Oryza sativa Japonica Group: one gene and its partners. The protein of the gene in region 2 binds, or shares a complex with, the protein of the main gene of each other region. Links are inferred from orthologs where the notes say so. Each region holds a gene or a part of one and is shown on either strand. Other genes may lie near its edges. The genes, in order: mediator of RNA polymerase II transcription subunit 4, mediator of RNA polymerase II transcription subunit 17, mediator of RNA polymerase II transcription subunit 25, mediator of RNA polymerase II transcription subunit 23, mediator of RNA polymerase II transcription subunit 21, mediator of RNA polymerase II transcription subunit 8 and probable mediator of RNA polymerase II transcription subunit 26b.

Region 1 (3,407 bases), on a different chromosome or scaffold from region 2:
TTGAATTGGGAAAAAAAAGTACATAAAGATGCGATATGCACCAATAAAATTATAAAAGGAGTTACTTCTGATGATGCTTTGGCAGTTCTAACCCATTTGAGTCAATTACTACTTTATCATCTGCAAGATAAGCTCGTGAATGAAAACTAAGACCTATAGTACTAGTATCATGTTTGTAGTAGGAAGATCCCCCATGCTGTGCAATAAGATAGGAAAAATGGTGTGTTCATTTAAGTGCAAACTTACAAGTTGAAACCACTCCCTTCTCATAACTTATATAGCTTGAGTTATAGAACATTCTTGAGTTTTCAGCTACCACTCTTTGGTACAATGGTATAAAGGTTTTCAAACTATATTGCAGCAATAAGAGGTACAGACATAAGGTAAAACAATGAGAAAAATTAAGCAGAGTGCATGAACATGGAAGTCATTACTTGATTGAAAAGCCCATAACCAGCTAGCAAGCCTAGCAAGCAATTATGACTGAAACCTGTAATCTGTGAAGAAGGGCATCAAACATTAAACACACCATGTTCAAGTTTAAATATCCATAAAAGAAGCCATGTTTCTGACGATACAACACCAGCACATCCTGAGGAAATTAGACCATCATGCTTGATTACATATATCGAAGCAAATTGACTAGTGAGATGGTTTAATTAATCAACACATACATGATACGCCACCCAATTCTATTCAATACCAGTATATTGCTGCATGATCTTGAATAATCATGTATGAGAGCTTGCATTATTTGTTCTTACTAGTACATGACCTACAACGGCATGGAAACATGAATCATAAAATAGCTTACCAAGGAACTAATCCTCATCATCTTCTTCAGAGCTCCCGACGTCGCTACTGTACTCATCACTGCTAGAACTATTGTTAATGTCAAGATCAACATGCCGAACCTGTATCGGTTCTTGTGCCTTCGGCACCATTGCTGGCACCACAACCGGCATCTGTTGCACACTGGCCCGTGGCTCCTCACCCTTGACACCAGCCAGAATGCCATCCGGCGGTAGAGTGATCGGGTCCCCGGGTTTCCATCCAGGCGGCGGCAACGGGATTTCGAGAGGCAGCGCCCCGTTCCGCCACCCATGCGGATGCGGCACAGTGATTGGTAGCACAGCTGCCTCCTGGGTTGGTGAAGGCTGAAAAAGCGGAGTGGCATCTCCCTCTGCTGCAGTCCTCTCCTTTGCTTCCTGGGATTTCGGCACTCCAACATCCAAATCCGCAAATTGATACAGCTGCGACATCCTCATCTCATTTTCCTGAGGAGCAGGCGGCAACGCCCCACGCAGAGGCAGCCCAGCACCATGCTCAGGCGGCGCGAAGGTCGTGTAGCTTATGCGGTGGGCGTACGTCAGGACGTCGTCCAGGTTGAGCTTGGAGTGCAGCGACGCGCCAAAGTCGCCGTCTGACACCGGCTCGGGGTCGTCCGCCGCCGCGGCGCCGCGCGGGCGCTTGGGGTCGCGGCGGTAGTCGGCGTAGTCGTCGACGAGGCGGTCGAGCACGTGGTGCGCCTCGCGGAGCTTCTTGGCGAAGGCGAGGATCGAGGCGTCCTTGGCGCGCGCCTCGCGGGCGAGGCGCGCGCGCGCGTCCTGCAGGTCGAGGGTCTCCTGCAGCTCGGCGACGGCCTCGAAGAGCTGGGTCTGGAGCGTGTTGAGCAGCGACAGCGCCTCCTTGGTGGAGGAGATCGGGGCCGGGAGCGGCGGCGGCGGCGCGGAGGACGGCGAGGGGAGGAAAGTGGGGAGTGACCCCCGGTACGCCGAGATCCACGCGGCGCGGCTCGGCGAGAGCTCGAAGAGGTTGGAGGCGAGCGCGGAGATCAGCTGGAGGAGCGCCTGCGCCCGCGGGAGCGGCGGCAGGAGCGGCAGCAGCGACGGCGATGTAGTTAGGGTTGGTGCAGCGGCAGCGGCAGCGCCCACGGCCGCCGCCGCGCTAGGGTTGCCCTGCGGCGGCGAGGAGGTGGGATTCCCCGCAGCCGGGTTGGGCGGGAGCGACGGCGACGAGGCCGTCAGCCCCAGCCGCGCCGGCGAGGGGTGGTGCGACTGCATCATCGCGGCGGCGGCGGCGGCGACTGCGGATGCAGGAGACGGACGCGAGGCAGAAGCTACTAGACAAAATTTCCTCTTAATGGGCTAATGGGCCTCCAAATTGTATTATATGGGCTTTACGGCCCATAAAAGCCCATTAACTCGGCCATAAAACACCATCTCTTCTGACTCCGCCGCATCGTCTCCCCAATCTTTTTGGCGGGAGAGCACCACAGCGCCGCCTCCACTTCCCGCGCAATTCGCAAGAGAAGAGCCATGGACGGCGGGTCCTCCACGGCGGCGAGGTCGTCGGCGGCGGAGATGGAGGAGCACCAGAACTGGAAGAAGAACGCGCCGGTGCTCTACGACCTCGTCATCTCCCAGCCGCTCGAGTGGCCGTCGCTCACCGTCCAGTGGCTCCCCTCCCACTCCCGGTCGCCGGGCTCCGCCCGCTCCCACCGCCTCGTCCTCGGCACCCACACCTCCGACGAGACGCCCAACCACCTCCTACTCGCCGACGCCGCCCTCCCGCTCCCGCCCCGCCTGGCGGCGGCGGCCGCGGCGGCGGGCGGTGCCGTCCCGGCCCCGTCCGTGTCCATCTCCCGCTCGGTGCCGCACAAGGGCGAGGTCAACCGCGCCCGCTGCATGCCGCAGAGGCCGTACACGGTGGCTACCAAGACCTGCGTGGATGAGGTGCACGTGTACCATCTTGGCGACGGCGGCGAGAAGGGCGGCGCCGATGTGGTGCTCAGGGGGCATGAAGCGGAGGGGTATGGGCTGGCGTGGAGTCCGATGAAGGAGGGGTTGCTGCTGAGCGGCTCGTATGATAAGAAGATTTGCCTTTGGGATCTCGCTGCTGGGAGTGGAGCTTCGTCTCTGGATGCACATCATGTGTTCGAGGTAATGCGCCGTCAAATGCCCCCCTCCCCTCATTCCATTTTGCAGTAAACATTTACAGTCGTTAAATGTTACATTATACGATGCAGTTGAGCAATGATTCGTAATTCATAATCCAATTCATTTAGTAAGGATGCTTCGATTGTTTCTTCCCCTTTTTTTTTTCAGTAAACAAATTTTGATCTGCCAGATCTCTTAGTAAACAATATTGAAATAATGAAATTGAACTGTTTCTGGTCTTTCCTAAATGTTGGAAGAGAATCATTATAACTGAAATAACTGCACAATTCCAGAGTAGATAATTGCACTGCGTAGGAGAAAGGACACAGCAATTGAATAACTAGTCGAGAAGAGAACATGGTTCCATTTCCATAGCTGCATTTTAAGCACAAACAATCATCTCTTGGTGTGAGGAACAATTCTATTATGCATAAACAGATCACTGAGTTTTTTTTATGTGAGCGTTCT
Region 2 (4,110 bases):
GTAGGTCAATAGGCACAAATGAAGATTTCCTCAGGGAAAAAAACTAAGAAAAATGCATTACCATTGTGCATTTCACATTCAAATGCAAGGAGTTTATGTTACACATTTGCAATGCAAGAAATAGTCTGGCTCATTGCATTATCAATGGACCATAATGAATTCCAATGGTAATAACTTTAATAATTTCATAAACATGATCTACCAAGAAATAATTTAAATAGTATCATCAGAAGTTTACCTGCTGCAGAAGCATTGTTGGGAGGTCCTCCAAGTCACAATTGTAGCTATTTACCAAATATCCATCGGAGGGCTTCCCAGTCAATGATCCAGCAATGCTTGGGGAGCCTTCACCCATTAGACTAATTTGGCTATCTTTCACGATCACCTTAGTATTGAACTGTGACCTGGATTTGTACTTAAGTTCATGGTTATCAGAAGGCTTTGCAATCCGATCTGCAGCAAGGATAGGCTGAGGAACTTTCAAGCATAGAGACCAGGAGGAAGTTCGAGAATGCCAAGTAGGAAGAGAACGCAAATGGAGATATGGAACCCTGCTGACCTGCAATACAGAAAGGAAATTTAAATAATGATCTACATGCAAATATGTAGCATCAACAAGCTTATAGGAGCTATACCACACTCTCAAGCTCCACGAGTACTTTGTTAGAAAATATCCTGTGAGCCACTGTCAAGCAGAAATGACCTAGCAGGCCATAATCATCACCTGCAACCTGAGCAGGACTTTGGTAGCGACCAATGTTAAGGGATTTCTCCCTGACCTTCCTAAGAATGTTCTCATGAAACAATTGTAGCAAGTAAATTTCCAGACTTCTGGGATTAGGAAACCCTGTCACGTCTTTTCTTAAAGGGTCCAGCTTCCCATTCATAGTGACCAACACAAGATTTGAGGCATCCTCTGAATTGGCATGGTCTTCATGGTCTACCATTTCTGAGTCACTACCATCTCCAGAATGAGCAAGCGAGAGGCACAATGAACATTCCTGACCAATAGCTAATTGGAGAAAATCTTCACGCATTCCAGTCACATTGATGCCTTGAGATTGGACAAATGTCTCACGGATCACCATATCAAATACCTACAAAGGCATACACTAAGCTAAGCCACAGAACGATATACATAAATAAATAATGATAAACCCGGGGAGGGAGGGGTGGTGGTGGTGCAAGATGTCATCACATGATATACAATAATTTTCCATGATGCTATAGTTAAAACTTAATTAAGAGCATTCTATACAGGAATTCTTAGCATGCCAAGCAAACACTTAGCTGACCTGCTCCTCAAATATTGACTTGTGGATGTTGCGAAGAATAGAATGTGCATGTTTGATGGATTTATTGACATCATCATTGTCTGTTTCAGAGGAAGTGATGCTTGAGATGCCATCTTTCAGTTTATGACCGTAGTTTTCCACACCATTGGCACTGTCCCCTCGAAAATTAAGACTCAAGAAACGGCAAGATTTTTGAGGGACTTGTACGGACAAAGTGCCTGATGAGTCTTGGTCAATTGGAATCAATGGTAATGATGACAGTCGAGGCATTGCTGCTGTGTCCAATTGAGAAGTGTCGATCAGATCAAACATGAAGCCCTCACTTCCTGGACCACTTCCACCAAACCGTTGCCGCTTCACTTTCCAGTTCTGCTGCAATCTGCCACCAATCCGCGAGTAATTCATGGTGCAAACTTGGGTGAAGTGGTATTGAAATAACAACTCAAGTTAAGCAACAAGACATGCCTGATTAATGAGCCATAGAACCTAGACTCTTTTTGGAACTGCTGCTCCATTGTTTTGGCAGATTGTTTGAAGTAGCGTGACAAATGCTGCGAGGACACAAATGAAGATCACAACAGGAAGCATGATAGATGCAAGACGGAAGAGGAAAGTGGCAAGCGATTACAGAAACAAATTGAGTTTGTTTTAGGTTCCATTTTGTTCCTTAGCCGTGAATTGAAGTAATCAAACATAGGCAGTAGGGTGACATACCCGAACGCGCTGAAGCTTGGTGGCTGCAGAGACTGCGGTGTCAACTAAGGTTTCGGTTGGCAGCGATTTGGGCTTGAGCATCCCAGCGACTGCCACTGCATCATTGGCTTCGACCTGCATTATCAAGTAGGATTGTCTCCTCTGTCAGGAATACAAACAATCGCATGCAAATAGAATGGGGTTTGCAGTATTGTGTGTGGGAAAACTGACAGTGGAGATGAGGTCAATGACGACGGAGAGCTCCTGCTGCGCCTGCTGCAGGCTCTCCATCATGCCCTGCCACGGCCATGCCTGCTGCTGCTGCTGCTGGGCGGTGTCCTTCTTGGGCTTCTTGGCGTCCTTGTCGATGACCCAGGAGAAGTCGATGCGGCGGATGGCGGAGAGGCGCTGCTCCTCGCTGCTGGTGTCGCTGCGGAATCCGAATCTCAGTGAACGGAGAGAGGTGGGGGTTAGGGTTTCAGGGGAAGGGAAGAGGTTGGTTTGGTTTGGTGCTTACGGCGGGTAGTGCTCGTTGCCGGCCTCGTCGATGGCGTGGAGGCGCTTGATGGGGAGCTTGTCGAGGTCCACCCGCACGGCTTCCTCCATGGCGAAGGCGAGGCAGCGGCGGCGGAGGGCTTAATTAGATCGGAGACAATTTTTTGAGTGAAGGAGGCACTGCCTTGGGGCTCACGAGTCCCGCTCAAGAGCGGAAGGGATCCCCCCGCGGGAAGCAGAAGCGGCGGCCGGCGGGGTGGGGGCGGCCGCCGGCGAGGTCGTCGGGCGGCGGAGTGAGGAGGAGCGAATTCTCGATCGAGTTTGGGTGCTGGACTTTGGAGTTTCTTCTCTGGAAGAGAGTATGATGGGCCTTTTTTGACTTTGGGCCGGCCTAACAAGTAAATGTTGCTGGGCTGGCCTGGACCAGTTCCAGACTTCCACTACTCCGAATGGGCCGGAGTTTCTTTTTTTATTTTCCATTTCTCAAGGCCCCTCGGGAGCAGGAATTATCTCCTAGCAATGGTAAAACGAAGGCTTATATCAGAGAGCTTTTTCTTATCAATGCCTACAAGACAACAAGGCCTGTTCTTCTGTTGTTCGTCCATGGATCACAAGTTTCAGGGAACAAAACTCTCTTTGGTGCCGGTGGCAATGATATTCCAAACTCAACCGCAAGTTGTGATCAATCTGCAACGTATCAGGGACGACGGATATTTCACAAAATAAGTAGTAGTATGTCGATTCTTCAGTCCAGCTTCTGAATTCCAGGCCTTTTGAAGTTGAGCAAGCAAGTAAATTCAGATAATCTCTCTGCAAACCAACTATACAGTGAGTGACTGAATTTCTACTTGCGCGGATCGATGTGCCAGAGCATTGCCAATCACAGAAACAAGTTGCAGATGAGATTGTCATACTAGCTTACAATCAATGCCACCATCCGCTCAAAACTCACAGCAATCAATCACAACCTGAAGAAACAATGAGGACAAACCACTGTCCACCGGATCGAGTTGGCAAAACCTGGACGACCAAGGGGGTTCGGAGAATAAAACTCCGACCCCTATTCATGAAAAAGAAAAGCACCGCAAACAATTCGTATCATAATTCTTGCAGGTAACACCGTAACACCATAAGTTTGAGAGAAATGCGCCAAATACAACAAATTTGGCGATTTGTTTGTTTTCTCTTTTTCAAAGGTAGCATATAGATTTGCCTTGATAATAGTATCAACAGATGCAGCGCTATAACCATATATACTCCATTTCTTCTCCATTCCCTTGCTTCATTGATTTATGACATACTCAGAAAGACTAAAATAAGCATCAATTTCACACTTCACAGGCCTGTTGTTCACAACTACTGAGCTGCTGTGTTATTGTATTGCTACTAATCAATACCAGCATCTCTTTAGAAAAATCATTAGCGATACACAGCTTACATTTTATTGGATATCACTGTCATTGTATCACATCCACTCCTCCCAGATCAACATATGCAATCATCATGCCTATGCCAGTTTTTTGCATGGTAAATTCTACTACTACCAGTGGCCCAGTGCCATGTGATGTCAACCCCAACAGCTTTGTATATTATTACCCCTTATTATAAACGCATCATACTCACTATT
Region 3 (3,500 bases), on a different chromosome or scaffold from region 2:
ATCATCACTTTCAGGAGCCAACAACTTTACCGCCCATGGTTTCTGCACCTGCTTTCTCGCATGTAACACCTGTTGCAAATGGTGTTTCACAAGGATTATCATCAGTACAAAGTCCCTCACCGTCCCTTATTTCACAGGAAACTAATCTTGCAAATGATAGTGTGCAAGAACATAAGCCTTTAATAAACCCTATCCAACAGTCAATTCGACCTGGTGGTCCAGCAAATGTCAGCATCCTCAACAATCTATCACAGCATCGGTCAGTGGCAACCATTATATCAGGTGGAATGCCTGGCATCCCTATGTCTGGAACAGGACAGTCAATTGGTAGTCAACAAGTCGTACAAAACACTGCTTTTGGATCAAACACACCCATAACAGGCAATTCAAATATTGCTGTGTCATCTTCTTTGGGTGGCATCCAAAGCAATATCGGTATATCAGGGCCTCCTGTGACACAGGGAGGTTCAATGGGTAGTACGCAATTGGGACAAGGTGGAATCAATACAAACCAAAATATGATAAGTAGCCTTGGGACAACAACTGTCTCTTCTGCACCTGCAATGATGCCAACACCAGGGATGGCTCAACAGGCAGGTGTAAATTCTCTTGGTGTGACCAACAGTTCTGCCATGAACATGCCTATAGTGCAGCATCCTAATGCGCAGCAGCAGCAACAGCAACAGCAACAGCAGCAGCAGCAGCAGCCACCGCCGAAGTACGTCAAAATTTGGGAGGTAAAAGATTCTGTCTTTGTCTAGCATCCATGTAGCAATTGGCTCTACCCTCCAACCCTCTAGTAGCTTAGTAGTTGTTTGCTAAATATAAAAGGAAATATTCCGTATGACACACATGTAATTTAATGTTTTTCTAATTCTGACCATGAGCTGCAATAATATATGCACCCTCCCAACTATTGAAATCGTTTGCCTCAAAAATAAAAAAGGAACTATTTAAACCCTTCTGCTAATCAACCAGATGAGATAGGGCTGTGAATGGTCAGAGTTAGTCTCTTTATTTTTTGGCCTTTTAACAGTTCCCAACCTGCTTTTTCCTTGAGAAAGCCTTCCTGAGATAAAAAGACAACAATTTGAAGGTTGACCTCTGGGAATTCAGCCTGGTGTTGTCCTTTGTGGCAGTGTTTTTGACTTCAAGTGCTGAGTCATGTCCTATTAACCAAAGAAGAAAGTAGTGGACCCACCATTGAAGATGCTGATTATTTTTTCATCCGAGTAAAGCCTATTTTACCATCCTCAACTGTGTTAGTCTAGAAATCAACCTCAGCAGAGGCCCCCTTCGTACCATGAACCATGCTGGTGGTGGAAGGGGTGCGACTATTCTGCAATACCCTATAGACACATGCCACGTGTCTCTAGGGGCAGGTCATTTGCGGCATCAAGGTGACACATAAATCGCCTTGATCTGTTGGCATTAGCAAAGGTGTTGAAGGGTCTAGTTAGTAAGAAACTAACATTAGTCTTTAATCTATTCTCCCCTGTCCTTGTGGAGTTGTGGTGCAGCTGCTTCGATGGTATTGTCTCTCCGTGTGCAAGGACACCTCAATTAAGTGCATAAGAACCTGTATGGCTGTATCCATACCACATTCATTTCATGTATGAAGAATACTTCCCTAAAAGAGCTAACATACGAGCACATGATTATATCTAAATTAGTTTGAAGTCAACTGCTTATTTTTCCGTGTCATTTTTGGTTGTTTATATATTAGTAATGTAAATTTTATGTTCTATTTATCGTGTCTCAAGTTGCCTATGTTGATGATACTGGTATCATCAGTCAATATATGATTTGTTTGTTGTGGATGCATAATATGTAATGTTTCTATTTTTATTTCAGGGAACTTTATCTGGGCAAAGGCAAGGACAACCTGTATTTATCTGTAAACTTGAAGTAAGTTTCTGTTTGTTGGATGAATTGTCTGTGACTCCGACTATTATCACCCCCCTAACTCTGCCCACACAGATGACCTTTGCTCATTATTATGCCCATTTGAAGCTGACTGTCTCAGAAAGAAAAAAAGATCACAAGAATCCCTGAATTGTATATATTATTTGTACGATCATGATTGTTCAAATCTTCTGTTGTCACTGAAATGAAATTATGTATTTCATAGTTTCAGTGTGCACCTTTATAGCTGGAATATAGTGGCTATCCTTTTGTTGTAACTACTTGTCCTACATTTTTTTTTGTTTCAACACATTTATCTGCACAAAGCATATACTTTAGTTAAATTTCTGACTTTTAGCATGTCTCACAGGGTTACAGGAGTGGAACAGCATCTGAAACGTAAGTTTTCGAATTGTTGCAATGTTCTTGCATTCTTTTTTTTTTTTTTGTAGTTCTGTTTTGTGTCTATTAATGGTTGTATTCGAACCAACAAATCACCCAATGTCGGTATGCCCTATTTTAGTATTGTTTTGTAGAAGAACTGGAGCAATGGCTGATTGGTAGCTGCTTGGTATTCACAAGTTTCTGTTCCATGCAACAACTAGTTAAGCCATTGCTTGTTTTTAAAAAATAAACTGTACTGTACAAAAGGTCTACGGTACAAGACCAAAATGGAAGCAACTCAAGTTATAATGTTGGAAGTTTTTAGATATAATCAATGAATGCTGTGGATTTGCTTTATACTCCCTCCGTCTCATATTATAAGGGATTTTGGGTGTATGTGACATATCCTATGTCCAGGTTCGTAGTACTAAGGATATGTCACATCCACCCAAAATCCCTTATAATATAGGACTGAGGGAGTAGTACAGTGCCTTAATCTTGTTAAGTGAATGGAACCTCCAAACCGATCTTGCAAAATTCCTAATAGGATATTTTGCCTAATATAGAAATGTCTTGTTCCCTTGCACTGAACATGTACCTTCTATAATGTCGTTCCCTTGCACTGAACATGTACCTTCTTTGTCCAGACTTGCAGCAGACTGGCCTGAAACAATGCAGATTGTGCGCCTTATAGCTCAGGAGCATATGAACAATAAGTTTGTCTCAGCCACTCCATTTCCATGTTAAAAATGATCCATTCTACATTCTCATAATTTGAATCATTCTCTCTTTTGTTTTTGTTTATTTGTTTATTCTGCAGACAATATGTTGGAAAAGCAGACTTTCTAGTATTTCGGACATTAAATCAGCACGGCTTCCTTGGGCAACTGCAGGAAAAGAAGCTGGTCAGTGCATAATTTAACCTGTTTAATGTTTATTATTATTTCATGCCACAATTATTTGGTCCCACATCTATTGCATGCCACTCATATGGGTCCTTCAACTAGTCAAATTAGTCCCCAAGCTTTGTTAATTGGCTCATTGTAATCCCTGTGCCTATGTGTCACCGCATGTTGTCTCATCTCACTCAAGTCAGCGACTAGGTACCTAGGGTCTCCAGCCAACCTAGAGTATGGGACAACCGAATTCCGTTTGCTAAATTATGTAATATAATTGAAGACAGAAGTAGGCTGCTGTTATGCTTGAGGGCA
Region 4 (4,232 bases), on a different chromosome or scaffold from region 2:
CACGTTCTAAAAGAAAAAATAGTGAAAAGGGTGCATCAATAGAACATTTGAAATTTATATTCCCATCAGCTGTCCACTTGAAAAAGGAACTTTATTATATTGACAAGGTAAATGGTTAACTTTCAAATTCTAACCTGAGTTCGTGAGCCTCAGTAGTTCAATTGTCCTGTCAGCAACTGCCTCACCGATCATATCAGGTGAGAAAACAGCTCCTGGCGTTGATGATTGTTGAGGATGTTGTCTATAACAAGGAGCAACAAGAAGAACACGCCTCCACCAGTCTGGTGACGGAGTTGTGCGGAGTGCATGCCTCAAGCAACGCAAAGCACGTTCCCAGTCTAAACCCCCTTTAGGAATGGAGTTTGCAAGATCCTAAACAACAAAGTTATATCAGATTTCAGATCCTACCCAAACCAACATTAGTAACTAATAGCTCAATTATCTATTCATTTCCTGCCAATTTTCCTGATCCATCCTTGAAAAACATGCGGTGTGTTGAAATTTAATTGCAAAATATATTTTGCCTCTGCATGTTATGATGCTTTGCGATTTTTCCGTTTATTTCTCCCTCCTGTGAAATTATTCATGATCACTCAAACAAAATGTGTTAGCATGTCATCCCCTGTTAATGTTAGAGGATACTACAACAATCCTAAAGAGTTTGCAAGGATATTCCAGCCATTTTGCGACACTAATTTCAATCTCGTAGGCTCGTAGCCCCAATGTGGTCAAAGAATACTGCAATATCTCTATGCAGTCAAAATATGTGCAGAGCATATCGGATGAACATAAAAATTGAGCTTCAGTCCACAAGTACAAAGTCAATGCATACAGGTTCAATGGCAAACTTAAAAGGGGAGAGGTGGGTAAAGAGGGGGAAAAGTAATATCACCTCTCCGTGTAGCGGCTCTCCCAATACACTTGGATAAGTAATGGGAGAATAACGCAAATTAGCAACAGATTCACCAGCTATGCTTGGGTATGATTGCGACAAGAACCGATGAGTTGCAAATGTTGGGCAATGAAGGTGTTGATCCAACATCTGCATGTGCATACATACCATGTCCCTCCTCCTATGGATCTCCATAATAATACTAACTAGTGCTTCATCGTCAGGAATATTTTCGAGAAACTGCAAGTTGCTGCGAACAAGCTCGTAGAATGGAACACGACATTTATCTTCATTAACTAGAATCCATATCACATCTAAGCATAGGTGCATCCATTCATGCAAAGGTCTTTCAAGCCTCAAGGTTTGCAATTGCAATGCATCAGCTTGGTCCACACCATGCGGTCGCTGGTCCCAATTAACAAGCCAATTTACCATATGCTGGAATATCACAGCATGGGTGGCTGGCTTCAAATCAGACTCCAGCCCTGCTAGAATAATTCTACAGGATAAGTGATGCAGATAACTAATTTCTGCTCCCCTGCGAGACTGGTCACCTCTAGCTGTCAGACCAAGCTGTCCAGGGCTAGAGAATTCTGCTCCCTTAATGGGTGAGACATTTGCACCTATGGGTTGGTCGATACCAGATTGAGTGGGAGATCCTATAGTGTTCATTGCTGACAATGGAGATGTGGGATTTGAAGGGTGAAAGCTTGGGGCATTTGGCACTGCAATAGCTGATGAAGAAGATGTTGCCGGGCCACCAGTAGTCACAGAAACCCCTTGCCCCATTGGTACCTCCACGGAGGAAACTACATTAAGTAGAGAAGGAAGGAGACTGTCCCATCGAAGGTGGCCTCGAGCACACAGGCAACGTGTGGCAAAGAGCAAGAACTCAGATTGTGGGGCGTGGCTACTACACTGCAGGACAAATGAGATGAGAACTGATTCCGTAACTGCCTGCAGCTGCTCTTGGTCCTGAAGAAACATGCAAATCAAATAATAAATTTGTTCTGTTCTCATGACATAAACAAAAGTACTTGCGTAATGATTCTGCTTACTGGGAACTGCATGTGCAACTGCTCAAAATCCGAAATGAATTGCTCATCTCGGGGAGGCAGATCTCTGTTCATAGCAGTTACTCTCTTCTGCAACTTGTTCCTGAGGAAATTCAATGCCCATTATGCATTACAGTTTTAGAAAAGCTTGCTGAATTGACTTCCATCGTCAAACTACCATATCAAATTTTGTCCAAAAACTACCATATATCAAAATGAACAAGGCACGAAAAACCGCTAGAGTACAGCACACTAGTTCCAAAATTGCGGCAATAATCTCCGGATATTCCAGAATTCCTTTCAAAAAAAAAATCTCCGGACATTGCAGAAGCCATCGCCTTCAAAGGTAAAGTTGAACAAAGCGCGAACGACAAGGACAAAATAATCCGACCTAACCTATCATAATGTTTCATGTGCTCGAGCCCTCGAGCAATCCAGCTAGCCCTAAAAAGTAATCCCCAATTAGAAGTCCAACAAGTGGGAAATCAAACTTACGAGGTCTCCCTAGTTGGATCCTCGACCCGCTGCTTCGAGTTCATCTGCAAATCACAGAAACCCAGGGTCTGAGCTAGCGTTCACAAGTGCACCACGGTTAGAGATTGGGGAGGAGAGACAAGGCACGCACGCCGAGGTATAGGGTGAAGAGATCGGCGATGGACGACCGCGCCGGGTGGTGGTGGTGGTGGTGGAGCTGCATCTGCCGCTGCTGCGGGAGCACCGCCGAAGCAGAGATCGCCGGAGACATCGGCTGCCTCTGCCCGTGCGCCCCGTCCATCGCCGATGCGCCGCTTCCGTCGCCGGCGACTGGAGTGGTGCGGTGGGCTTGCTCCGACCGAGGGTTTAGGAGTGTGGCGGACCTGACCTGATGAGCTCTTGCAGTTTGGGGGAAAGGGAACAGATCAACGGACGGTGGGATGTGTAGTCTCAGCTGCATGGAGACGGATCCAGACCGCTGGTATGCATTCTACCTTTCTCTTGGGTCGAAAAATTGAAATTGAAACAGAACAAAAACATGTTCTCTGGTATATTTGTGGTTCAAATTAGTGGCCATATAATCGAAAGCTACCAAATACCATCCGGTTATATACTCCTTTCATTTCTTTTTTCTTTAACGTAGGTGGAATAGGTAGTATCATGCTTGGTCTCATTATTTTACGTACAGCTAATTATAAGTCGTGATGATTTTATATTAAAACTTTAATATATTTGTCCTTACTAGAAAAAATACACGTACATTGCAACAAGTAAATGTTATTTTAATTTTATTATTGTTACACAATTTAGCTAAGGTAAAATTCAATGTGGGAATTCACTTTGATATTTATTGTTTAAAAAAAATCATGAGCTGCAATTAGGAGTCTGTATTTCATCTCAAGTTAGCATGCGAGTTTTTTCAAAAGATTTTTTATACGATTCCTTCTATACTTCCAAAAGGAAACAAGGTTAAAATCCAACTCAAATACGGATATGTATTTCCAAAAACGAACGAACTTAAAAACCGACTCAAATACGGATGACGTACCAAAATACCGGCAAAAACATCTTTAATTTTTATAATAATAGAGATAGAGAAGAGATTGAATAAAAACCAATGCTGAAAATAAATCACGATAAAAAAAACTACTATGAAATTAAATTTAAAATTTTAATTTTTGGCTTTGAGTGATAAAACGAAAAGCATCGATGCTAGGACTCTTACAAATATTGGAGTATATTGAACTCAAGGATGATCCTACATATCACACATCTGATATGTCCCATTGGGATGGTCCCAAAAACATAATTTGAACGAATTTTGTGAATTCGACCAGCTACTAGTACCCAGCACCGGCGCTTCCAAGAACAATCCGCGCGAACGAGCACGTACGGCGCTACAAAAGTACACATCACAATTGACACACTACAGTACGTCGTGATCGGTGAACTAAGGCGCCCGAGACGGCGACGGCGCCGGCGACGCGGCGAGAGGGGTGGTGGCGGCGCCCCCGCTCCCGGCGCTCGGCATGGCGTCCCAGAGGAGGTCGGCGATGACCCGGTTGGCGGCGTCGGAGGTGTGGTACGCGTCCCAGAAGACGAACGCCTTGCGGTCGCTGCAGGGCCGCGAGTTCGGCAGGCACAGGCCCCCCACCGTCGTGTCCACGTTGCAGCACGACGTGTGCGCCGTCGTGAACCCTGCACACACACACACGCACACACGCATCGCCAACGGTGAGACACGCCCGCCGACACGCGCCGGAAGTTTGCGTTGATTGATTGATTGATTGATTAATTACCGTGTTTTTCGG
Region 5 (4,113 bases), on a different chromosome or scaffold from region 2:
GGAACTCATGGAATTGCTTCTTCAACGGCACTGGCCTCATCACCATCACTGATCCCAGTAAGTATTAGCCTCTTCAAAGCTTGCTTCACTTGCTGTTTCTTTCACCTGAATCCTGCAAATTTACATGGCTTTCTTGCCAACCTTTGCAGGTTCTGGCAATTGCAAGTATGCCTGAGTTGAGAGTTTGCTCCAAGTTAGCCAGCCAATCTCTGGAGCTTGACAAATAAAGTTTTCAAGGGATGTTTTGTTTGTCCAAGTGCCCCTAGAAAATATGGTGTTCTATATTTCAGTGTCAGAGTTGCTAGAATTCAAGTCATGTTTAGCCTCAATGTTTGGGTAATCTTTAGAGAGGAATGCTTTATACCGAGATAATATTGTTCCATATCTTCAGTGCAGTTCTTCAAAGTTCAAAGAGTATGAATCCTAGGCATGTCTTAATTGTATTTGCATAGCACTATATGGTCCTGTGCTGCTGTGAACGAACAGTGGCCCAACTATAATAAATAAACATGAAGTTATGCTCAAATTATTTCAGATTAAACGAACCAGCTTGAAACTATTCAAGTTACTGTAAATTACAGTGCTAGGTTTAATTCCTAATCCAACAAGTACTACTGGAATATTGTTGAGCATCAGCTAACTTGATACTAAAACTGAGTCTACATGTAGCATCGGCAGCTGGCATTCACATCTCCACCTTCATCTGTTCATGACTCCAAAATGGGTTCCGTTACCTGATATGACAGGAAAGCAAACATAAGTCATTTTAGTGATACTACGATCATACGTAACAACACTGTGTTGGAATTTTCTGATCAACAGAAAGACAAGCCCCCAGAGGGTTTTATGAAAGCATCTTGCGAGGGATTAATATAACAGGTCAACATCCACCATAATTATGTTTTGTTCAGGCCATCATCGTACATAAACTACATAAACCAATAATTGATCATGGACATGATGCCAACAGCCATCTAGTAAATGGTGCATGTAGAATATTGTACTGCAAAAAGCACCATAAGAACAAAATTGTTATCAGTATCCTGACTTCCTGATAATACAGTGTACCAAGTTTGGGAAGTCAAGCGGATTATACAGCTGGTCACAAAATAATCCCATATCATAAGCGCAAGCATAATTTTTTGCAAGCACAAAAAAAGCTAAAGATTTATTGAGATAGTGAAGGGAGAAATCCAAACTTACATTGATAACTATTACTCTGGCTTCTTCAAGTTTATACAATGATCTGTAGCTTCATTAAAAAGAGCCTCAACTTGCTTCAGCTCCAGCTCTACAAAAGCAACAAGACATGTAAAACACTGGACTTGTAAATAATCAGTTGTAACATGGTGAGGAATTATATAATGAAGGCAAAATATTCCAAGAATGTAATAGCAAAGCATACCAGCAGCTTCCAGTTGTTTCTGAAGCTCTGTGCCTACAACTTCATTCTCTGCCTGCGCATTTCAAATTCATAAGCATTTTAGCTGCAGGACACAAGTATCATGAATACTGATACTATGGCAGGACATGCTGCCGAGCGTCTGCTAAACCTTCATTCAGAAGAAAGCAAGCGACTAAGGAGGACAACCTTAGTATGAAACTCCATCCACAAGGCGTAGGAAAAAAAAAACAGAAGGAAACATGCACAAAGATACCATCTTCACAAGACACTAGCTTAATGTCACCCTTTCACAATGTACTGCTCAGAGGGCAAAACTGAGACATACCTGTAGCTCTTTAATTCTTTTCAGCTGATCCTCTTCAGATGATAGTGGCAACGCAGAAACAAGAGCATCAAACTGCATAAAAAAACCAAAAAAAAAAGAGAACGGTATTGGAAACAGTAGCTAGTAGCACATTTCAAGTGTACTCTCAGATGCAAAGTTTGCCCTCTGGAGACAGAGGTTGGTGTGCTGCATACCATCATCCCACCTACATTTTGCGAGGAACAGTACAAAGATTGGTGTGATCCACATCATCGTCAACCCTTCTTTGCGAGGAATAATATGAGTGAAGCTCCTATTTTGCAGATCCATTCAAAATTATCTCGAGAGGGCTAAAAAACAGCACAATGCAACTAAAGTACTCTACCACACTACATGAACAATCTCACTATAGAAGATATGATTCTGTAAGTAGAAGAATTTTCAAAGAACCAGGCACCCTGACCGTGGTTGCAATCACACAAAAATGCTAAGGCTGGTCACACCAAAAATTACAGTCCAAGCCCTAAAGCGTCAGACCCCAAGAACCAGCAGGCACTCAGGCATTTCATCGAGCAGGTGGCAAGCAGAGAAGATAAGCGACGGAAGACGCGTACCTTCTTGGCGGCGAGGACGAGCGCGTGGCTCATGGCCTTGGGATGCTCGGCGAGGTCGAGCGCGGGCGGCTGGGCCTGCGCCGGCGGAGCCTGTGCCTGCGCAGCCGGAGCTCCCGCCGCCGCCGCCGCCGCCGCTCCAGGCTGCGGCTGGGCGGGGTCGTCGGGGTTAGGGTTTGCTGCTGCGGCGGCGGCGGGGTTGAGCGGGTCCGGGTAGTTGTTGGAGAGGCGGACCGGCGGCGCGTCCCGCTGCAGCGTCCCGAAGGTGTTCACCGCCACCATCGCCATCTCGTTCAGCTGCTCCTGCAGCTGCGAGATGATGTCCATCTCCGGCGATCTCGTCCCCCTCCTCGCCGCCGGCGACCTCCTCCTCCTCCTCTTCTCCCTCTCCTTCTCTCTCCTCCTCCTCTCTATCCACCAAGGCCCAATTACATCTAGGCCCATCAAAGAAAACTGGTGGGCCCAGCACATCGACAGTGCGCAAGCCACTCTCTGACTGGCACGTGGGCCCATGGCTAGCTTGATTACGAAGGAACCAAGGGACCCCACGCGGAAAATTGCATCACATCACCACCACGCGTCCAGATCTGATCCACACACAAATGGATCGGACGGCCCAGGATTAAACCAAACTATTACTAACAATTAACTCACCCGATTAGTTAACACTAATTGAATCGGACTTGGACTCTAATCTAGACTAATATAAAAAGCACGAGTTGTTTAGTGTAATTAACACCATGATTGCAATTAGCGCCGGATTAATCCTGCGGTTACAATTAGCACCGGATTAACACCGCGTCTTGCTCCGAAAAAAGAAACTGCACGCCAAAAAGAACGAAAAAAAGAACGCACGCCAGCCACGCCGCCCGCCTCACCTGCCGCCCGCGTGACTTCCCACCTCGCCTCACCCGACCATGCCAGGCCTCGCCGCCGCCGACAATGTGACTTCCCACCTCGCCTCACCCGACCATGCCGGGCCTCGCCGCCGCCGCCGACCATGAGCCTCACCCGCCGCCCGCGTGACTTCCCACCTTGCCTCACCCGACCATGCCGGGCCTCGCCGCCGCCGACCATGAGCGAACTCCACGAGCAGCGCCAGCGACCGACCCACGCTGCCCGGATCGGAGGCGAAGGACAACAGCCCGGGGCCGCCTTCATCGACGCCGTGCGCGCCCAGTCGATCCACGGGAGCGCGGCCGCGGCCGCAGAGGCGGCGGGGGAGCGGTAGGTGATGACGTGGACGCGGCTCCTCGTGCTACCGGCGAGCGGGACAGGAGGAGGAGGAGGAGCGCGAGGGCGGACGCGGCGGCCGCGGCCACGGAGGGAGCCTATCATGGAGGAAATGGTCTGAGGAGGAGGAGGAGCTAGGGTTGTCGCAGCCTCTTCAATGGTGATCTCCTGCAGGAGGCGAACGGGAGCAAGTATCAGCAGCAGAAGCTGGGTGGTGTGCCCTCGTCGCAGCCGCATCATCTGAATGTGAGTGACTCCACAAGAACGAGAACCCTGAATTGAATCTGACATTTACCATTGTTCTTGCATCATTCATCCAGTGGTAACGTTTTACATGTCTTGGATTGTTGGATGACATTGATTTCAACACTGGAAAATTGTTGTTTTTTGCTTCGGGACAGCAGCAAGTTACCCCAGCATTGACAGCCTGCAGATCGACCACAAGCCGGCGACTGCGGCGGGACGCCAGTTCGGCTCGGCCTCCTCTCCTCCTCCTCCGCCGCCGCCGCCTCCGAACCATCCCCAACGTCATCCCCTCCGAGCACGGCCGCGCCGCCGAC
Region 6 (4,259 bases), on a different chromosome or scaffold from region 2:
TCCCTGACCTAGGGGAGTTTGCATATGGCATTGGAGGAGTAGATACATTTTCAAAATTAGGCGTTCCTGTAGCTCCAGGTGATGGAGCAGGTCTGCCAAGTAACTGTCCTCCAGACACCTGCTATTAGAATGAAGGCCCAAATTTGAACATCAAGATAGAAACATCAAAGGCCTGCATGAGGTCAGGTTGGTGATTGCTCTTATGAAATGCAATTGTCTTAATAATAGTTCAAGGGAAAGCATTCTAACCAACACTTAATACAGTTGATCATAGAAAGGAATACCAATATACCATTACAAATTATATGGCAAATTGATACACGGGAAACAAAACATCTGCCTTTTGTAACTTTTTTTGCTTTCAGCCCAACTAGCAATAATATGGACATATTCTATTAATTTCGTAATGGTCAAAGCTGTTATTACTGGCACTAGACAAACCTGCATTGGATTTCCCTGGGCGTTGACAACATTAGGTACAAATGTTGAGGTATTTTTGGGGTACACACCTGCAAGTATAGACTCTAGTTATATGCTTTTGTTGAAGCATTGTGTGACATACAGACTGCACAAATGGCAACACTAAGGGTAGCAGCAAGTTATTGATTATTTTTATATAAAAAAACATCTAGAGCAGATGAACAACTCATTGATGCTATAGTTCCAATGCTCAAAACAAGGAGTGAACCATGGAGAATTGTAGGTATGTCACAGAAACAGACCAGAATTATCACCAAAATTATGTGCCCCATCTCCAAAAGGAAGTACGTCCACTAAATGGCTAGGAAGAGATGAATACATCTGCCTTTGGTCTCCCGGTACACGCAATCCTGGATAATCAGACTAAATCATCATGGACTATAAACAATGAAATTGTTACATAAAAGGAGAAGCTTATGCTAAAATTAAATTCAAAGTAATTTTTAAACTGATAGCTATATTAATACACCATTAATGCTTATCACCTTCACCATAATTTACCGCTGCTCTAAGTAGGCCTTCCTGCTCCTGTATCTTTGCAGCCTGTGCCTTGTCCAATGTAGGACCAAGATTTGCCCCCTGACGGGCTCCTAGACCATAATTCTTGCGACTTTCAGCAATTACTTTCTCAGCTGTTTCACATGCACTTCCAATCATATCTATCCTAGTCTGAAAGGAATAGCAGCAAGTCCCATTAAAATTAACAGATAATGAAAAGATCACGCAGGTATAATAAGCTACATAGGTTTGCATTTTCCAGACAGAAATAATCACCTTTAACTTTTCAATTTGTCCAGAAACTGTTAGATTCGTTATTCCAGACAACAAGTTGTCCCTCTTTGTAGCTTCTTCAGCTTCCATCTCAGGTAACAGCTTTGACGACAGCATTACAGGCAGTACTGCAGTACTCACGAATATCAAACAGGACTAACGATGTGGTAAAACTAGAAGCAGATGAACATGGGAACACAAATTGCGATGCATCCCAACCATATACAGCAACCGTGACCAATTAGCATCTTGTTAGGTCATTTTTAGATTCCTATCACACTTATCCCAGAAATAGGAAAGTGTTGACAAAAATGGCTACCCATGCTACATTAGGAATATCTTTACCAATTTACCCTAGGATAAAATTCGTTTAACTAAAGCCAATTAGCCATATCAGCCTGAAGTTTAATCTCAATATTTAAACCAAAGGAATAACTATTGCTAGGAAGTGAGAAAGGTCAACAATTGGTTCTTCATGTGTAAAACAACTCGTAAAAGAAATGACATGTATATATATGAACTACTCATTACCAAATGCAGCATAACCATAATATCTCATATATCCTTGTTGCTCATAACAGAAATCACATAGTATATTTCTTGGTTCTCATAACAGGTGACCTGTCTTCTCATCTGGCTTTGGGCACCATTGAACATGAGAAGACTCTGTTTGGTAAGGTCATGGAATCAAAAGTGGTCTGCTTAGCTGGGTAGCGTGTAACAGCTGCCCAAGGCAATATTTTGTGAAGGTTTGAACTACGCAGAGCAATTCCATTCTACATTATGTTCATGTATTCTTCTTCCCACAAACTTTATGCTTGTGGATCTACCTAACTAGTGTGGTTATTACTGATATAGCGATCGATTGGTGACACAAGAGAAGAGAAGTGGAACAGCAAGCATACTGGCAGCGTTTTCGGCATTAACGTTTCGGGGGTAGACCACAAACACCTTGGACACCTTCTTGATGTCCTCCACGATATTGAAGAGCTCCATGCTCACCATCGAGAATTGCCCAAGCACATCCTGCCTGCCATACACGCACCACGGCACGAATCAGCATTGCATAAACCCTAGAAAGGGGAAGCTGAATCCTCTACAGAGTCCAGCGGGCGATCGGGGGATGGGGGAATGGAGGTGAGGCAAGTACTACCACTTGGGGGAGGCGTTGGGGTTGGCGCGGGCGATGGCGTCGAAGTCCTCGAGGATGCGGGAGATGGCCTTGTACAGGCCCACGGCGCGCGCCCGCATCCCCTCCAGGTTCAGCTGCTGCTGCACCCCGGCGCTGAGCCGCTCCGTCCGTGGCTGCTGGTCCCCTCCTACGGGCGCCGCCGGGTTCGGCGCCCCGGCGGCCGCCCCTAGCGCCGCCGCGTCCATCCGAGCTCGCCGGATCTGCTGCGTGGAGGAGCTCGCGGGAGTTGGGGGGCTTCACAGGAGGCGGAGATGGCTTCACGCCGGCGGCGGAGGCGGCGGAGATGGGCCGTCGGAGTTAGTAGGGCGGCGCCGGAGAATTTGAGTGTTGGAGAGAGGGAGACCGCGAGATGAGGACGGGAGGGGGAGGTGGTTTTTCCCCGTTTTCACGAAAACCGGTAAAATCGGCTCAAAGTTTGTTAAAGAAAAAAAGAAAAGGTTCGCTTTGAATATTTTTTTTCAATAAAAACTTACCAAAGAAAACCGAGCAATTTGTGTTGTCCTGTAAACCATGGGATACGAGCGAAATAGACAACAAGCCTTGTTTAGTATCCGGAATTACTTCATAGTAATAGGATACGTTCCATTTCATGTTATGTTGCTTTATATTGAGACGAATGAAGTAGATTAATTTATATATTTCACGAGGAAATTTTTTGATTTTTTAACCGTTAGATTCGCTCCAATATTCATGTAACTGGGGATGGGAAAAATGAATTTTCTTGGAAGAAACACTTCTGATGCTATGATAGCATGGTTTTTTAATGTAGTTACATATAGTTAATATAATTTTATTATAAGTAGTGAAGTCGTATAAGTTGTAATGGGAAGTACTAAATTTATGACAAACATTACATGATTAGAGTTCATTTTATGACATGTTCTATTTTTTGTCAATTAGCTCCAACATAAACTCATGTTTTGAGCAAACCCCAAACATCAATATTTTGGTCCCATGTTATCTCCTTCTACTATTGCATAGGCCAATTTCATACTACCCCTTATAAGGTTTTAATCCAACCCAGACATAGCGTTGTATGTACTACAAACAACAATAAATTATAGTAGAGTATTCTTGCTTGTGAACACTGAAATCATATCATTTAACTCCTTATATCTTAAATCTCAAGTTTTGTTGCTTTCCATAAAATTGAGGACAATGCTAACAGTAGGAGCTAAGATCATGGTACTATTTGTTACTTTTTTTAAGTAAAATATATGGCCGGTCTCTAAACTTGTGTTGTGCTGTTACTTAGGTTCATGAACTTGAAAATTACACGTTTAGGTCCGTGAACTTGGTTTAGGCTGTGTTTAGATCCAAAGTTTAGATCCAAACTTCAGTCCTTTTCCATCACATCAACTTGTTATACACACACAACTTTTCAGTCACATCATCTCCAATTTCAACCAAAATCCAAACTTTGCGCTGAACTAAACACAGCCTTAATGTATCACCTTGGTCCAAACGTCCTTTGGCTGTGTTTGACCGCCAACGTGGCATGCCACGTAGGCAACACTTTCGCTCTCAGCTCCCTCCGCGTCACAACACGTCGCATATATCTCCTTGTAGCTATATTGTGACACCAGAATCCCAAAAAAGAAATCCTCAAATCGCTTTTCCCTCTCATTCTTCTCCCTACATGTACAGAAAATACTCATAATACCACAGGATTTCTACACTTTGACTATTATAAATACGGGATGTTGTGGCATTCACTATAAATTTAAATTTTGTTAATTGAATTTACAGTGCAAGGTTACCATCTAAAAGGAAGTTTTGTCTAGTAACTTCTTCCCTGTATTAGTAGTCCTCTTGC
Region 7 (4,036 bases), on a different chromosome or scaffold from region 2:
GAATTCGACTATTGGTGACTTGATAACTCTCATCGGCTGATTCCGAGATGCTACAGCCGATAATGATTCTAAGCCGATGACGCCTTTGTCGATTATCAAATTTCACTGTTAATAGATAGCTCAGTTTTTTATAAATAGAAAGGAGTATTTGCCGCCTAAATATTTTCTTTGATGATACAGCGTATATTGCTAATCAATCTTGATCGCCATTTACTAATCCAAGATTTCGCTACTACATTAGCACCTTGTTTTGAAAAGGATGCTAAAAGTACTCCATTCTTTTTCTATTCAAAAAAGAAGAAGCTATACAGAGCATAAATATTTCTTTGATCCTACGGTGTACTACTGTGCTATACTATATCAAACCATCGATTGGCATTTACTAATCCAATACTATTTCCTCGCACCATGTTTCGAAAATGATGCCAAAAATAGTCCATTGGGCCTCAACAATTAATAGTACTCCTAAAGCACATTCTCCATTCCATAAAAAAACCACCCTATTACCGAAACGTGACACATTCTAATACCACAAATATATTTATATAGATACAATCCAAGTTTACTTTTTAAAATTTGAGTGGCCTACGGCGGCTACGGTTGCATGCACGTATTTTCTTGGTTCCATAAAAAAAATAACATAGTGTTGAACGTCTATTCAGATTTATAGTATTAAAATATATCATATTTCGTACTAATTTAGTCTTTTATAGAATTGAGAGAGTACTCTATTCATCTAAAAATGGACAATCCTTCGTAAGTTGAGTTTTTCTTTTGGGATGGAGGTGGGTACGTGCATACAACTGGTTCACATACTATAGACACTTATATATGAAACAAATAAGAGGATGATCCTATTATATAATAACAGTGATATTATGGTAGATGATGCTCACCTACCCAAGTTTGAAAACTAAACTTGAATTAAGTGGATATCAAACGGGAATCATTAGCCCAATAAACAAAAAACGAATGCTACTATTACCAACCAAACACTACAGGAAAGAGTAGTACTAGTCCCACTCCCACCAACAACAGTTGAGATCCTCTCCAGTACTGCATGTGCCGTACTGCTCACTAATATGTGGGCCCGAGGGGCTATAGGGCTCACATGTCAGGGAGCCTACTGCATGAGAGGACCTGCATCCCACCAACAACTCGACAGGGTCAAAGCCGAGAAACAGCCACGAGGCCGCCTCCCTCTCCAAAACCGTAGTGACCTCGCCCTGTGTGGCTGTGTCCCCAAACCCGGTAAAAAAAAGGGCCCCCCCGGAAAGTCCTAGACCGAGAAAAGCTGCGACCTCCGTTGCGCGAGAGAGAGAACGAGACGAACGGAAGGAGTTGGGAAAGGGAGACGCGAGATTTGTTGTTACCACTAGGAGGCCATGGTGGTGGTGGTGGTGTGCGTGCGGGGGAATTAGGAGGAGGAGTAGTTGTTGTTGTTTGGTAGAGTCGAGCTTGCGTAGTTCTCGTGGGCTCTCGTTTTTGCGTTGCGTGTGCCTCGCCATCCGCCGCGTCCCTATCCAACCCCCCTCCCCGCATTCCCTCTCCCCCTCGTCGTCGTCGTCTTCCTCCTCCTGCGGCGGCGACGGCACAGATAAGATTTGGTTAGGAGCTGTTTTGTTTGTTGGGTTGAAATCGTCAAGTAACGTGGACGTGGGGGTGAAGCAAAGGAAGGGAGGGGAGATTGGGTTTGGGTGGTGTGAGGATTGATTTGTTTTTTTTTTTTGGGGTTTTCTCTTCTTGATTGATTCGTTCTTGGCGTTGAGGAGAGGCAGCGGTGTTCGTTAGATTGATTTTTCGCTGTCTCGGGAGAATTTCGCTTTCCCGGTTGGGGGATTCCCTCGGTGGGGGGCATCTGATTCGCGATCGGGTTGGATTAGATTCTTTTGGTGCAACGTAATCTGATAAGGGGAAAAAGAAATTTCAAGATTGTGAGGAGGAGGAGGAGGAGGTGATCGAGAGAGGGCATCGATTCTTGGTGGTGCCAGGGGAGCCATCGGAGTCGTGGGGGTGGAGGTGGAGGTGGGGGGAGCCCGATCTCGGGTGGCCGCGGCGGCGATGGCCGACCGGCTGGATCGGTGGCGCGAGCTCCTCCGCGGGGCGGCCGGCTCCGCCGGAATCTGCGACGTGATCGAGAACGCCATCCTCGTCGCCGCCGCCGACGCGCCGCAGGAGCTCCTGCGCCGCCGCGACCGCATCTGCGAGATCCTCTTCACCGCGCCGCGCGCCCCGCCCTGCCACCACGGGTGCGGCAGCGCCGCCACCCCGACCCCGGCCACCCCCGTGGAGGAGGACAAGGGCAGCGTGCGCCGCGTCCCCGAGAAGCAGAGCAAGGTGGACAGCAGCAGCAACGGCGCCCTCGGCGGCGGCGGCGGCCGCCGCGACGACGTCGATGACGACTCTGACTCTGACTCCGACGACGAGCGCCTCCGCCGCGCCGCGGCGAGCAACTACGGTCACAACTACGATGATGACGACGAGGAGGAAGAGGAGGAGCAGGAGGCGGCGCCGGCTGAAGAGGACGAAGAACAAGAGCTGGACCCCGAGGCTGTGGAGCTTGAGGCACTCACCAACGAGATCGACGAGGAGTCACAGGTCGTCGGCGAGGTTCTCCGCATCAAGGACCTCTTCTTGCACAAGGAAGATCATGTATGATGAACTATTCCCAGCTTTCAGTTCTTCCATGAGTAAGAGTTGTGCCATTCCTCAACAGGGACTTAACATTTGATCTCAACTGTGGTTTTCGCAGTCGGATGCTACTTTGTTCGAATCACTGAGGAGGCTGCAGCTGATGCAATTGTCCGTTTCCACGCTGAAGGTACTGTGTTGGATAGCGCATATGAGCTATGCGGAGTGACGCATAGTGGTTCTGTTTGGTTTGCTAATCTCCGATGTTGTTTGTTGTAGGCTACTGAGATTGGGAGGGCTGTTAATGGGCTGCGGAAGCACAACTCGCAGCAAATTCGTCACCTTGTGCGCACTCTCATTGAGTAAGTTCAATATGCTTGCACTAAATTTCATTCTCTAGGGCTGATCTAGCTTTTAATTTAGAGAACTTGCTGAAGCAAATTGATACTCTACTGTACCTATAAGTTTCTGAAAACATGATACGAGTCTACTGATTTAGCTTCTGTATTCTCCAGTCTTTGTACTACTTGAGTGAATTATTTACCTTATTTGTAGTGTGGTTATTAACCAATTTTGGAAACATTGTTGACGTCTTAAAACATTTTTTTTTCAGAGGTTGGAAAATTTTGGTTGATGAGTGGGTCAGCACCACTAATGTTGCCCTTACAGGTAATAAAAGTTATTTTGTTTCATATCGCGTATGAGTCATCAATTTGTAAGTGAATGTTCACCTCTTAACATGTAATGGATCTTTTGATCTGTAGACAACTCCCCGGGCTCTTCAAAAACATCTGTTGTCGATGATGCTGATGATGAAGGGCTTCCTTCTCCACCTCTGGATGAAGGGGCGTTCTTTGCAACCCAGACTACTGCTATTCAACTCTCTGAGGTACTAATTTTTGTTTGTTCCTGGTATCTGGATTGTTTTGGTCCAGAACACAATTCTAACTTTGCATTGTTGTTTTTCTTTCTGCTTCATCTTCCTGACCTAAAGTTCTTTGATGAAATGGATGAAGATGGAAGTAAGTACAACAACTCAAATTACATAGTTTCCCTTTTTTTTCTGTGCACTATAATAATTCAAGTTATACATTTTATGACAGACTTGAGACATAACAATGATGGGAGCCTTGGAAATAAGAGAGAAAATTATGGCAGGAGGCCTACAAGCCATCCAGCTTTGACAAAGCAAGAGCCTCCCCGTAACATGGGAGCTGTTGAAAAAGTTCAATCCAGGAGGCCGGAATTGGCAAGGCAAGAGCCATCAATGAGGCAGGCTAACCCACAAACCCCTCAAAATTCAAGTTTGCAAGTCAAACAGCAGGCCATGCTTCACAAGCAATCTAAGCCCTTGAGTTCTGATTCTGGACCTGGGAGACCATTAAGGGCAGCTCCTCAGCAGAAG

Evidence for each region.
Region 1: mediator of RNA polymerase II transcription subunit 17 (region 2) and mediator of RNA polymerase II transcription subunit 4 share a complex: the UniProt entries of both Arabidopsis thaliana proteins name them as parts of the mediator complex. The link is inferred for Oryza sativa Japonica Group from reciprocal best matches to the Arabidopsis thaliana genes AT5G20170 and AT5G02850.
Region 3: mediator of RNA polymerase II transcription subunit 17 (region 2) and mediator of RNA polymerase II transcription subunit 25 share a complex: the UniProt entries of both Arabidopsis thaliana proteins name them as parts of the mediator complex. The link is inferred for Oryza sativa Japonica Group from reciprocal best matches to the Arabidopsis thaliana genes AT5G20170 and PFT1.
Region 4: mediator of RNA polymerase II transcription subunit 17 (region 2) and mediator of RNA polymerase II transcription subunit 23 share a complex: the UniProt entries of both Arabidopsis thaliana proteins name them as parts of the mediator complex. The link is inferred for Oryza sativa Japonica Group from reciprocal best matches to the Arabidopsis thaliana genes AT5G20170 and AT1G23230.
Region 5: mediator of RNA polymerase II transcription subunit 17 (region 2) and mediator of RNA polymerase II transcription subunit 21 share a complex: the UniProt entries of both Arabidopsis thaliana proteins name them as parts of the mediator complex. The link is inferred for Oryza sativa Japonica Group from reciprocal best matches to the Arabidopsis thaliana genes AT5G20170 and MED21.
Region 6: mediator of RNA polymerase II transcription subunit 17 (region 2) and mediator of RNA polymerase II transcription subunit 8 share a complex: the UniProt entries of both Arabidopsis thaliana proteins name them as parts of the mediator complex. The link is inferred for Oryza sativa Japonica Group from reciprocal best matches to the Arabidopsis thaliana genes AT5G20170 and MED8.
Region 7: mediator of RNA polymerase II transcription subunit 17 (region 2) and probable mediator of RNA polymerase II transcription subunit 26b share a complex: the UniProt entries of both Arabidopsis thaliana proteins name them as parts of the mediator complex. The link is inferred for Oryza sativa Japonica Group from reciprocal best matches to the Arabidopsis thaliana genes AT5G20170 and AT5G05140.

Annotation. Positions count from the first base shown.
Region 1 is NC_089043.1:25,716,283-25,719,689, forward strand, and holds mediator of RNA polymerase II transcription subunit 4, read right to left. Parts: upstream 2,142-3,407; 5' UTR 2,067-2,141; coding exon 822-2,066; 3' UTR 501-821; downstream 1-500. Other genes in the region: histone-binding protein MSI1 homolog, read left to right, coding at 2,319-2,942. UniProt on the Arabidopsis thaliana protein: Component of the Mediator complex, a coactivator involved in the regulated transcription of nearly all RNA polymerase II-dependent genes.
Region 2 is NC_089046.1:28,095,916-28,100,025, reverse strand, and holds the start of mediator of RNA polymerase II transcription subunit 17, read right to left. Parts: upstream 2,801-4,110; 5' UTR 2,595-2,800; coding exon 2,506-2,594; intron 2,419-2,505; coding exon 2,220-2,418; intron 2,124-2,219; coding exon 2,010-2,123; intron 1,847-2,009; coding exon 1,761-1,846; intron 1,675-1,760; coding exon 1,296-1,674; intron 1,098-1,295; coding exon 636-1,097; intron 560-635; coding exon 239-559; intron 1-238. UniProt on the Arabidopsis thaliana protein: Component of the Mediator complex, a coactivator involved in the regulated transcription of nearly all RNA polymerase II-dependent genes.
Region 3 is NC_089043.1:12,252,243-12,255,742, forward strand, and holds part of mediator of RNA polymerase II transcription subunit 25, read left to right. Parts: intron 1-14; coding exon 15-737; intron 738-1,854; coding exon 1,855-1,908; intron 1,909-2,275; coding exon 2,276-2,304; intron 2,305-2,936; coding exon 2,937-3,005; intron 3,006-3,109; coding exon 3,110-3,194; intron 3,195-3,500. UniProt on the Arabidopsis thaliana protein: Component of the Mediator complex, a coactivator involved in the regulated transcription of nearly all RNA polymerase II-dependent genes.
Region 4 is NC_089036.1:31,045,629-31,049,860, forward strand, and holds the start of mediator of RNA polymerase II transcription subunit 23, read right to left. Parts: upstream 2,801-4,232; 5' UTR 2,723-2,800; coding exon 2,573-2,722; intron 2,487-2,572; coding exon 2,443-2,486; intron 2,051-2,442; coding exon 1,951-2,050; intron 1,868-1,950; coding exon 893-1,867; intron 373-892; coding exon 135-372; intron 1-134. Other genes in the region: GDSL esterase/lipase At5g37690, read right to left, coding at 3,872-4,119, 4,221-4,232. UniProt on the Arabidopsis thaliana protein: Component of the Mediator complex, a coactivator involved in the regulated transcription of nearly all RNA polymerase II-dependent genes.
Region 5 is NC_089042.1:2,025,008-2,029,120, forward strand, and holds mediator of RNA polymerase II transcription subunit 21, read right to left. Parts: upstream 2,763-4,113; 5' UTR 2,648-2,762; coding exon 2,324-2,647; intron 2,023-2,323; exon of another isoform or gene 1,940-2,022; intron 1,803-1,939; coding exon 1,731-1,802; intron 1,458-1,730; coding exon 1,406-1,457; intron 1,292-1,405; coding exon 1,215-1,291; 3' UTR 1,204-1,214; intron 735-1,203; 3' UTR 501-734; downstream 1-500. Other genes in the region: major pollen allergen Ole e 10, read left to right, coding at 1-57, 150-175. UniProt on the Arabidopsis thaliana protein: Component of the Mediator complex, a coactivator involved in the regulated transcription of nearly all RNA polymerase II-dependent genes.
Region 6 is NC_089037.1:18,123,615-18,127,873, reverse strand, and holds the start of mediator of RNA polymerase II transcription subunit 8, read right to left. Parts: upstream 2,801-4,259; 5' UTR 2,629-2,800; coding exon 2,405-2,628; intron 2,282-2,404; coding exon 2,157-2,281; intron 1,380-2,156; coding exon 1,255-1,379; intron 1,150-1,254; coding exon 966-1,149; intron 831-965; coding exon 723-830; intron 510-722; coding exon 442-509; intron 122-441; coding exon 1-121. UniProt on the Arabidopsis thaliana protein: Component of the Mediator complex, a coactivator involved in the regulated transcription of nearly all RNA polymerase II-dependent genes.
Region 7 is NC_089039.1:20,347,261-20,351,296, reverse strand, and holds the start of probable mediator of RNA polymerase II transcription subunit 26b, read left to right. Parts: upstream 1-1,236; 5' UTR 1,237-2,061; coding exon 2,062-2,652; intron 2,653-2,752; coding exon 2,753-2,821; intron 2,822-2,910; coding exon 2,911-2,993; intron 2,994-3,244; coding exon 3,245-3,300; intron 3,301-3,395; coding exon 3,396-3,520; intron 3,521-3,625; coding exon 3,626-3,653; intron 3,654-3,734; coding exon 3,735-4,036. UniProt on the Arabidopsis thaliana protein: Component of the Mediator complex, a coactivator involved in the regulated transcription of nearly all RNA polymerase II-dependent genes.